Linked DNA regions of Ovis aries. The protein of the gene in region 3 interacts with the protein of the main gene of each other region in a pairwise test. Links are inferred from orthologs where the notes say so. Each region holds a gene or a part of one and is shown on either strand. Other genes may lie near its edges.

Evidence for each region.
Region 1: the proteins of ERBB3 (region 3) and PPM1B interact in a two-hybrid assay, tested with the Homo sapiens proteins (2 studies listed by BioGRID and IntAct, with this or other methods). The link is inferred for Ovis aries from reciprocal best matches to the Homo sapiens genes ERBB3 and PPM1B.
Region 2: the proteins of ERBB3 (region 3) and HDAC6 interact in a protein complementation assay, tested with the Homo sapiens proteins (2 studies listed by BioGRID and IntAct, with this or other methods). The link is inferred for Ovis aries from reciprocal best matches to the Homo sapiens genes ERBB3 and HDAC6.

The regions. Positions count from the first base shown.
Region 1 is NC_056056.1:80,069,312-80,073,761, forward strand, and holds the end of PPM1B (protein phosphatase 1B), read right to left. Parts: intron 4,295-4,450; coding exon of another isoform or gene 4,283-4,294; exon of another isoform or gene 4,256-4,282; coding exon 3,950-4,255; 3' UTR 2,357-3,949; coding exon of another isoform or gene 2,327-2,356; 3' UTR 605-2,326; downstream 1-604.
Region 2 is NC_056080.1:56,256,710-56,260,957, forward strand, and holds the start of HDAC6 (histone deacetylase 6), read right to left. Parts: upstream 2,897-4,248; 5' UTR 2,864-2,896; exon of another isoform or gene 2,770-2,863; intron 2,594-2,769; exon of another isoform or gene 2,415-2,593; intron 2,277-2,414; exon of another isoform or gene 2,073-2,276; intron 2,016-2,072; exon of another isoform or gene 1,897-2,015; intron 1,717-1,896; 5' UTR 1,687-1,716; coding exon 1,594-1,686; intron 1,509-1,593; coding exon 1,347-1,508; intron 1,265-1,346; coding exon 1,176-1,264; intron 1-1,175.
Region 3 is NC_056056.1:163,433,787-163,436,345, forward strand, and holds the end of ERBB3 (receptor tyrosine-protein kinase erbB-3), read right to left. Parts: intron 2,400-2,559; coding exon 1,879-2,399; 3' UTR 590-1,878; downstream 1-589. UniProt on the Homo sapiens protein: Tyrosine-protein kinase that plays an essential role as cell surface receptor for neuregulins.

The DNA.
Region 1 (4,450 bases), about 83 Mb from region 3:
TAAGAGAATCCAGTCAACGTTCAAGGATTTACAAAAATGAAAGCTAGTGCTATTTTTTCACACTAAACTCTTTAGATCTGGAAAATAATTATCTTAATAGAACATGCTATTTATTTTAACAGGTAATGGTTTTATCTTTAATGAATTAAAATGGTATGCAAAATTTCTTGGTTTTAACTTCTATACAATACACAAAACCCACAAAAGCAAAAAGTCCTTTGGGATCTTGAATTTTTAGATATATAAATGGGTCCTGATAACAAAAACAGCCGAGAACAGCTAGACTACGGAATTTAGATTAGTAAATACTGAATATGGGTGTTTCTTTTGCTACCTCACACAAAATTTTTATTTCCATGGCCACAAAGTCCCCTGAAAAAGATTTCTTAAAACAGTATAAAAATGTTTTGGGAGTGGATAAGGGATTACTAGTATTGTCCTACAGAGTTTGGTTAATACCTCCTTGGATTTAATTGTAACTCCCCTACATGGTTTTGTATGAAATTTTTTATAACAGATATTCTAACTATATCAGATGTTTACGATAACATACAAAGCTGAACTTTTATTTTTAAATACCATACAAAATAGTAATATGTCACACTGTTTTTATCAAGTCTTTATTTAGGTAACAAGTTGGTTATGTTCACTGCATTGTATGAAACATCACAATATCATACTGGAAAGGTACTATCAGTACAGGGTTGGATCAGAGTGGACAGTTTGAACAACAACCATTTTGCATTCTTCATTCCCTATCTTTTAACAACCCCCCCAAACCCAGTCAAGGGACAAATAGCTCTTAACATCATCATGTAAAGCACTTTAACTTACAAGGCTAAAATCTAAAGAATAAATAAAATATGTTGTGGCAATAATTCCTTTCAGACCAAAAAATCAGGTGCACAATAAATCGAAATGATCAAGAAAGCTGTATTTAAATGTGTGGCTCTCCAGAAACAGCTTCAGGAAAATGTTACAGAAAATACCATGAATTCCATTTCACACAGGACCAGATGATGACTCATTTCAACTACACACAAGGGCAATTACATCCTGCTGAAACACAATTTGAACAGATAGGAAAATGTTTACAAAGCATCCACAACATGTACACCATGTACAAATGGATACATTCATTGCTCTCCTACCCCCACGCTCCTTTTAGATAAATATTTCACTCTTCACGTTCAGCATTAACTGGATACATGCAAAACTCAGAAGAATTCAAGAATTCAAGGTTATTGTAAAAATAGAATTAAACTAATAATCTTCAAGTACCTTATGTGACAGCCACTCCGTACCGTGCCCAATGTTATAAAATGAAAGGTTACTGAACCCATGAAAATATCTCTGTAATATTTCCTTAGATCTAAAATAGATAATTTTAAATGTATTTATAGTCATTTCAATGTGATATTCTGAGCTTTTAAAATAATGTAAACAATTAAAAATTATACCAAATTACACAAAACCTGTTGTATCTTAAAAGCTGAAAAATTAAAACTATAGAAACCCACATGTAAAACAAAAATCACAATTTACATTATAAAGGCAAATTTCATCATTTAAAAAAATTTGCAGCAGTGAGATGTCAAAGCAAATTATAAATAGCCATAAATTAATCCATTTGGTTTCAAGAGATTTTTCTAGTGAGAATTGAAGGATGTAGTAGATACATGCATAAAATTTGTAAGGGTTTATAATATTATTGCCAAATATACTTTATGTTGAAGCAGGCAACATTACAATTTGGACATTATTGGAGAACCCAGTTTGGTAATACAGGTAAAATTGGAAAAAAAAATTAAATAACAATTAATAATAAATATAAATCCTATAGTAAATTGCTCAAATGAAATTTTAAGCCACAGAGCTGCAAAAGGCTTCCAACTTGGTGAATTGAAAAAAGGAACATCTCATACAGTTCTTTACTCTTACATGCTTATATGTTGTGTGCCTTAGTTAAAAAAAATAATAATAATGTATCTTCAGAGTACAGCTAACTATATTCCCATGCACCTCAGGCATATTCGTTATTTGTGGTGAAATAACTCCATTGGTTTCTAGGGTCAAAAGTTCAATACAGATGTAACCAGTATGTCTGAGGCTGGCAAAAATACTGTAGTACAGGCAATGCTACAAGTGGCAATTACCAGAAAACACAAATATGAACAAATGATGGGAAATGCTAATGATTTTCTGCTCATATCACAAAACGCTGGGAATCCACAAGAATATTTTTCCCTTGTATTGAAGAAAATTGTGATTAAAAGTTTTTTCCCCCAATTTTCAGAATCAAAAGCATTTTAGAAGGTTTATAAGGCTACCATGGGTCTTCTAGATCTCCAGCACCCTACAGGAAGAGAAAAGGAAGAATATTATTACTATTTACCTACACCACTTCCAGGCTGGACTGAATTTCAAAAGAAAACAAAATCAGATGAACAAGTTACCTTCCTTTCTTTGTCTGAAAGGTACTTTTACAGAGAGAGTTGTGTGTATTGTATACTGTGTGTATACACACATGGATCTATCTAATATAGATAGATAACTGGTTGGGTTTTTTCCTCCCCTTTCCACCAAATGACTTCCTCTTTCTCAAACCACTTAAAAATATTCTGGCATTGGAAAAACAGATCAAAACATCAGCTATATCCAAAGATTGCAAAGCTTCAACTTATGGCACCTTAAGCAACTTTAGACACATGATAAATATAAAACATGAAAAAGCAAAGTTAAAATGTTCTACATACACAATTGTTTTAAAAAATACTCTAATGTGATTTAGTTGTTTGTATTTTAAAAATTCATTTTAGCAAAGTCAAACTCATATCTGCCACCACTATTTAAAACATCTTCTACTTCTTGCATTACTAATTTCTGATGAATACTTCTAGCAAAACTCAAAGTCTTGCAATCTTTAAAAAGCTCATCATGACAACCTTCTGACATGTTTACATGTGTTCATACTGTCCAAAGATTAATATTTTGTGTCACAAAGGGGGTTAAGAAACAGAATAGATTTACTTTGAGTAACCAAGACTTCTCAAAATTTTTTTAATTAATGAAAAACGCACCAAACCAAAAGTTTTCTAAGTTTTATATAGATACAAATGAAATTCAAGTTATTTTTCCAATATACCAAACCTGGTTGTTTTTTAAAAAAATTAAAAATAAGTACAACATGCATAGGTTATTCCACATCACATGCTTTATTTGGACTTAAACATGTATAATTTCATTCTAAACACTTGGTTGACATACATTTGGATGTATGTAGTCAGGCTACACAGAATATACAAACCAAAGCTGGATGAATAATACACAGGTTTTTCAAAAATGATGTTTCATAAAGGATACAGAAAAAGGAAAAATAACCACACATCCGGAATCTCAAAACTACTAAAAAATAAAACTACAGAGAGGCAAAATATAAACAATTCCAAGAACACACAAATTATCATCCTTGAAAAAAGAAATTACAGGACAGCATCTGCCATTCTTTGAAGAACTAAAATTACTAAAGAAAACACAAATTCATTACAGAGCTAACTATGAATGTACTAATATGTGAAGCAGTATAATTCTACATTAACAATTTTTTCCACAATATAAAGTAATCTTGCTAATCGGTAATTTCTAATCCTTTCCTAGTATGAATTTAACTACTGACTTTAATAAACTGTTAGCCTCATTTCTGGCATACAATATGAAATGACATGTAATTTTATTAAATTCAAAGTACTAGAATATAGCCAATTTTAAACTATCTGATAAAGATGTATGCAAAAGCCTTCTTAAAAAACAAGGCTATAATATATGAATATAATAAAACTAGTTTACCAAGATTTCAAATAACAAAATGGTTATATAAATGCATACATTATACTTCCTAAGAAAAAAACCATCAAATCAAAGATCACAACAATATTACCACAAAGTCAAGTCATAGCTTTTCCCCACTCATCTTTGTCCCTGCATCTTCAGGACAGCTGTCTAATTCAGCAAGATCACTTTTTGATTCAGTATGGCTTTCCTGCATTGTCACTGTGTTTCCAGCATCACTGTTCGAAGAAGCAGCTGTAGCAGCTTGTTCAGCAGGATTTTCTTCGCCCTCTACTTTAGCTAGCCTGTAACTAGTCAGCATCTCCTCCAGAAGTTGTCGGTAGTTTCCCCTATGATTAATTCTCATTTGCCTGAGAGCTTCCACCAATTTCCCCTGTGATCCACTTTCCTCTGCTTCATCGGAGGCCTTTTTTTAAGATTCAAGACCCCAGTGTCAGTAGACAAACTAGGATATAACACGTATTTCATAACATATCACAGCAAAACACTCATTTCTCTACCATGAGTAATATATCTAAGCATGAGAACATTTCATTAAGAATCAAGTGTTACTGTGTCAATTAACAAAACTTTCCAATCGAAATACCTCAAGTTATTTTTA
Region 2 (4,248 bases), on a different chromosome or scaffold from region 3:
TCCCTAGTGCCTCAGGAGATAGATATGTATTTGGTAATGAAGCTTTTTGCCATCCAGAGTCTTCCACTGGAAGACGGGCAATAGAAATTAAACTGGTAAACACTTAAGCAAGTTGTAGTCACTAAGTCATGTCCGACTCTGCGACTCCATAGACGGTAGCCCACCAGGCTCCTCTGTCCATGGGATTTCCCAGGCAAGAATACTGGAGTGGATTGCCATTTCATTCTCCACATAAGAATAATAATGGACAAAACAATGGCATCGGTTAGGAATATCTCAGGTGTGGGGAAAGGGGAGTGGCCAGGCAAAGCCCTCTCCAAGGGTCTCCTTGAGATCTGAATGTTAACTGGGAGAGGAGGCTGAGATGAGAGAATGCCAGGCATGTTGGAAGAACAGCAAGGGGATCAGTGTGCATGAAGTGAAGTGAAGCAAATGAGGGGTAGGATTGGCTGAAGAGGTCATGGAGGTGATATGGAACCAGGTCACATGGAACGCTGAAGGCCAGGATGAAGAATTTAAACTTTACCTTCAGGGAAACAGTCTGTCCTTGAAAGACTTTAAGAGAGAGAACATCATTGTATGTATTCTTTTAGGCTGTTGTATGGAGAACAGGCAATAGGGGCGAGGGTGGAAGCAAGGAGGTCTCTGCAAGTCTAGGTGAGTCATAATGGTGGTGGCAGTGGAGATGGCAAGGAGAGGTCAGATTCTGAATCCATTTCAAACAGCCAAAAGAATTTGCTGATGGATTGCAACATGTGACTGAATGGGAAGTGTAATTCTTCCATTTCAGCACAAAGGTCCCTTCTTCAAGGAAGCCTCCTGAGAACCCTGGTTACTAATCTAAGGTCCTCTAGTAAACACTCTTGAAAGCCCTGGTCTTAAGTCCTCCTTCACCAAATACCTCACGTTGCTGACGGCTATTTAGCGACCTGTTCTCCTACTTGTCAGCTCCCTGTCTGTCTTGTCTGACACATTCGTATCATGTCTGGCACACAGTAGGCACTCAATAAATGTTCGTTGGCTAAATGAAAAGAACCCATTCGAGCCTGATCCCCATCTCCCTAAATCACTTGCTTCCAGTCTCTAGGCTAGAGTAAGAAAGGGTTCATTCTTGCTAATGGGCTCTAAGTGCATATATTTGTGCACTGGGTGTGGCCTGGAGGAGCCAGCCTCACCTGTCATCCCAGAGGCAGTGGAATTCATTTAGCTGTTCATCGAACACCAAACCAGTGCCAGACAGTGTCCTGGCCTCCAGGTTCAGATTCTGCGAGGAAAAAAATGGGAGAGACTGATGCATTGAGGGCCTGAATCAGAGGGAACATCCCACACTGTCCAGGATGGAGAACCTTAGGGTTTTGATTGTCCCAGGAGCCTCTCACCAGCCCTTGCAGCCCCATGATGAGGTCTTGCTCGGCTGTTTGGCTAAGCTTCTTCATTCTGCCTTTCTTCTTTACCTCCGCTAGACTGGGGCTGGAGCGGAGCATGGCACCCTTTTTAATACCTCGCTTCTGCCAAACAGAGAGAAGGGTCAGAGTCCAATGCACAGCCCGCTGCTCCCCCTCCCCCTCATCAAGGCAGGTTGGGGGGCCTCACCGAGGTGATGCTGGAGTCATGGGTGGGGGAGGGGGGATTGTGCCTACTCCTTCGCTCCTTGGGTGTGGTGGAATCCTGACCGGTGGAGGTCATGGCTGGGGAGACTTCACCCCTGACGCGGTCCTGGGGGGTGGGGTGGAGGTGACGGTGAAGGAGCCCGAACGCCCTGAAGACCCCACATACCAGCCCCTTCCCAGACCCCGCCCCCTAGGCTAGTCTCCTTCCCTTATGCTGGCTCTTCCCGACCGCCTTTTAAACTCCACCTCTCAAGGCTCTCTCCCTCCAACCGGGTGTCCATCCTACCTGGTCCCGCCCATTCCACTAGGCTCCATCCCTTTAACACTATTCTTTCTCCTTTCAAAGTCTTGCCCTTTAACAGAGCAATTAACCCCCAAGCTCAGTCCGTTCTCTCCGCCCCTTCCGCTCTATCAACCCTTTCATTCCCCAAAGCCTCGCGCAGACCCCACCCCTTCGCAAACCTGCCCCTTCCAGCCAATCTCCCAAGATCATCAGCCACCCTTTCACTCAGCCAGACCCAGCCCCGGCCCCGGCCCCGACTCCACCCTTAACGATCCACTTAACTCCACCCCTTATCGGGCCAGCCCAGCACCTTCCATTTGGCTAGATCCTGACCCTAACGTTTTGACAAGCCCAGCTCCTCAGGGGACTGCCTCTTTCCCTCCAACAGGCCCCACCCCCTACCCAAGTCCAACCCCTAGCGCTTCACCAAGCTCCTTCAGTCAGTTCGAGCCGCCTTCCGCTGGCCCCTCCTCCTTCTCGCCCCGCCATTGGCACCGACCAATCCCTTCCGCGCCACTCACCGGGTGCAGCCCCTTTCTCAAACTCCGCCCTTGTCTGGAGCCTCCAAATTCCTGACGACCGCAGGTGCGTGATCCCCTCTTTTACATTGGGCCGAGTCTCTCCATAGACCGCCCCGATTCCGCCCACACAGGGGACCGTGCCGCACCGCCGCGCCCCCACAGCGGGCCACACCTCCCGTGGACTCACTATCGGCTACTCCACTTCTCTGCGCTCGACGCTGGCCGTACTGCGCCTGCGTGAGGCGCCTACAGGCGGCTCGACCAAGCGCCGGGGCTCAAGCCCGACCCTCTCCCAACCACCCCCGCTGTCGTCCTATCGGCCATGGCCGCCGTCCCTTATTCCCTGTCCACTTACCTTAGGGCCCCTCCAGACCCGCGCCACCCTACCGTGCGATGACTCAAGAGTGGAAGCAAGCAAACAAGGGCGTTAGGAAGGGGCGCTTTCTCACCTCCCCGTGGCTTCCCGCGCGACGCGCCGTAATGACGTAGCCCGGGCGGGCTGGTGGTAGTGCCTGGAAAGCGTTGGAATCTGGACAAGGCTGGTGGCGGCCAAAATGGGAGTGGTGATGATGATAAATGTGAGGATTTTCTGAGTTCATGTTCACTAAGGTAGTGCACAAGAAACATTCACCAAATGTTAGATACTAATATTCTGCCGCGAAACTGGTGGAGCAGAAGGAGTCTTGGTAGGGGCAAATAATTGTGATAATAGCAAGTATTATGTGACAGGCATTGTCGTAAGACAAAATACTATGAGGTCGTTCCTGGAGGCTGCTTTGCAGATGAGGAAACTAAGGTTACGTGACTTAACCATGTGACCTTGGGCAAGTTACTGAACATCTCTGTGCTTCAGTTTCCTCATCTGGAAAATTGTGATAATGATAGTGCCCAGAGACAGAATGGACCTCAGGAGGGGAGTTTTTATTTGGGCGGTGGCCCTCCACAGTGTCACTTCTACTCCCATGGTGTAATAGAAAGTGTGTGCCTAGCACGTAGGGGAGGTTGCCCCTGTGCACCCCATCCCCAGCTACCTCACATCACATGTCTAAATGTCAGCCCCACAGTAAGCCAGTTTGTCCTCCTAATCTCCCTGTCTCATTCTTCACCATTTCCTACTGGGCTGTAGGCTGGGGTGGGAGAGATAAGCAGTCTGGGGTTCAACATCGCTTACTAACAAACAGATTGACAGCCCCATTGCCCGGTAGCTGGGTCCTCTGACCGTCTTGCAAACCCCTGTTCGAGCCTTCTCGTCCCTTACAGTCTTTTCCTACCTGACCATGTCTTTTGTCCCAGTGGAAGAGGGTTACAGCTTTAAGACCTTTAAACCTCTGCATAGACCAAAGAAAGCATGTAGACAGTGATACACCCTGAGGAGCATTTTGAGACTGTGATGCAGGGTAAAAGAGTAGGGAGTCATGAAAAAGCCAAGGCCCATATTTTTCTGAATAGTCAGAAGAGAGATTTCTCTAGAGCTGACGTTGGCAAACTTTTTCTGTAAAGGGGCTGATAACAAATATTTTACGCTTTGCAGGTCACATATGGCCACTGTGGCATTGTCTTCCTTCCTGTTCTCCTTCCCCCTCTTCCTTCCTTTTCCTTTCTTTTGCTTCCCTTTCTTTCTTTTCTCCATCCCTTCCCCTCCTTTTCTCTCCTTTATGTTCTTTTTGTCTCTTTAAAAGTGTAAAAACAGGTTGCAGTCTGGCTTTGGCCTGAAGGTCACGGTTTGTGGATCCCTGCTGTACAGTGTCAGTCTTCGGTTTCCTTTATCTGGCTGGGATTCTTTTACAGGATGAGTGCAGAGGTTCCATGCTTCCTGAGGAGTGGCATTCCTTTT
Region 3 (2,559 bases):
ATAAGGGTGGGGAGGTGGGATACGCCCTTCCCTGAGTCCCTGGAGCGGCCGGCAAGACCGGCCGGGCCAGTCCTCTTGTCCTCAGGTGCTGGGAGAACCGGGAGGGGCAGAGCAGGTATGGAAAAAGATCGGGAGGGAGTCCGGGAAGCAGGGGCTGCTTGGGCAGCCAGATTTCTGAGCGATTATCCCGATCTAAAGACCGGACTCCCACTGAAGATGGCACTGTTGTTCTAACAAGCTTTGATGGCCATCTGGGGGAAGTGTTCACGGAGACTTTTTTTTTAAGAGAATGAGTTTTAAAACATGAATTTCAGTATTCTACCTCTTAGGACTTTTTCTAACGTCCCTGAACGCGTTGTTTTGTTATTCCCAGTTGGTTGCCCTATAGAGATTTAATAGTAAAACCCTAAAATGAAAAGGACTGTGCTCTATGCTCGTCTTAAGGGAATAAGGAAAAGTAGGGATGGAGAAAGCGACATGGGGCCCAGTAGGATTGTCAAGAGACAGAAGCATCCACTGCTGAGAGACAGGGAAAAAGAGTGTTCTATCTCATACACTTTGACAGGTTTTCATTTGACAGACAGAAAGCTGCAAAACTTTGGCATTTTTATTCAGACGTATAAAAACAAAACAAAAAATTTCAGGGATAAAAACAGATACCCCAGTTTCCCATCCAAAGGGACAGAGGTCTGAAGCTGGGTCCTCTTTCTATCCCTACTGGAAGCTTCCCACGACTGGATGAGAATAGCTCCTGAAAGTGGCTCTTGGGACCCCCGTGAATCTGTCCCTTGGGTGGAGCTCATATACAGCACATGTAGGCTACGGTTTACACAGAGATGTCCAGTTATTTTTCCTTCTGACCACCCCCTTCCACTTCTAGGATAAGAGGTCAGGGTGAAGGAGGAGGCTACAGTAGTTGTTGGAGTTAGACTTGATTCAGTGCAAAAACAAGAAGACAATGCCCCTTACCAGGGCTCTGGCTTACATCAGTTTTCCTTGATACCTTACAGTAAGAGCACATGCATTGGAAGATTTTGAATCATGGACCTGCTACTTGATTTACTTAATCTCTTTAAGGCTCCTCTATCCATGGGATTCTCCAGGCAAGAATACTGGAGTGGGTTGCCATTCCCTCCTCCAGGGGATCTACCCGACCCAGGGTTCGAACCCGTGTCTCCTGTGTCTCCTGAATTGCAGGCGGATTCTTAACCCACTGAGCCATCAGGCAAGTCCCTCTCTAAGGCTCAGTTTCCTTATTTGTAAAATAGGCTAATACCTAGGTCACAGAGTTGATGTCAAGGATGAAGTGAGATAAATTTAGGTAAAGTTTAGCAGGATGCTTGGCACATAGTAAATGCTCAATTAATAGTAATCATTAATATCTACTCCCAACCTCTTTCTTCACTCCACAAGATTTCACTTCTCATTCTTTCTGCAGGGTTAAGGATCGTAAGCCAAAATTTTCCTTTCCCCTGCCAGGTTCCCCCCTTTCCTCTTCCTTTAAAGTCTAAAGGGAAATAAAGGCATACTTTAAAGCCTAGTGTCAACAAGTCAGAGTCTAAGAAAAAGGGACAAGAGTAATCCTTCATATCTCCAGGGAGTTCCCCTGAGGAAGCTGAGGAATGGGATTGGGAAAGCACACAAAATAGGGAAAACCATCTCCTTTCCTGGGATCAGGAAAGAGAAAAAGTGCACAGCTGGCTACATAACCACAAGAAATTTGTGTCAAAGTGTTTAAGGCCTCCATAATTTGAATGGAATTGTCTAGGACTAGGAAATGGGGCTGAGACCTGTGAGGGAGAGAGACCAAGAAGAGGGTTACTCTCCAGAGGCACTAGCTGCCATCAAATGCTCCCTGAGCACCTCAGTGAGTAAGGGTTATATTCTCTGGGCATTAGCTTTGGGGAAAAGCCTGCTATGCCAGTAATCAGGGTTATCAAAGGCAGAGTCAGTGGCTTCTAAACTACGTAAAGCTTTGAGGCGGGCATAGTGGACCTGGGGCCCACGGAGTACAGGCCCCTGGAAAGCTCTCATTTCTTCATACCCTTGCTCAGAGGCTGGGCAGGCGCCCATGGCTGCATAGTCCCCCCCAGCGCCTCCTCCACCACGTCGCCGATTCATATATTCATAGTCCTCATCTGGAGTTGTGCTGGCGTTGGGCATGTTGGGCACGGGGTTGAGTGGGCAACTCTGTGTGCTGCCCAGGGAGGCACTGAGGTCTGATCCCACATCCATGTACTCATAACCCAGCTCCTCGAGGGAACTTGGCCTAGGAGGACGAGATGGACTGCACCTTCTCCTCCGGTTCATGTATTCATATTCCTCATCATCGTCGTCTTCTGTACCCAGAACAGAACTGAGACCCACTGAAGAAAGGGTGCCTTCCCGGGAGGAGGTACCTAGGGGTAGAGAAGAGAGGCTAGGTATGTGGTATTACTTCATGGTAATAGGCAGTGGGGAGTAGAAGGATGTTAGGAAAAAATGAATAGGGAAGGATATGCTCGGGGAAGACAAAAGGATTAAGAGGAGCCTGCAAAAGGAGGATTAGAGAAAGATTTG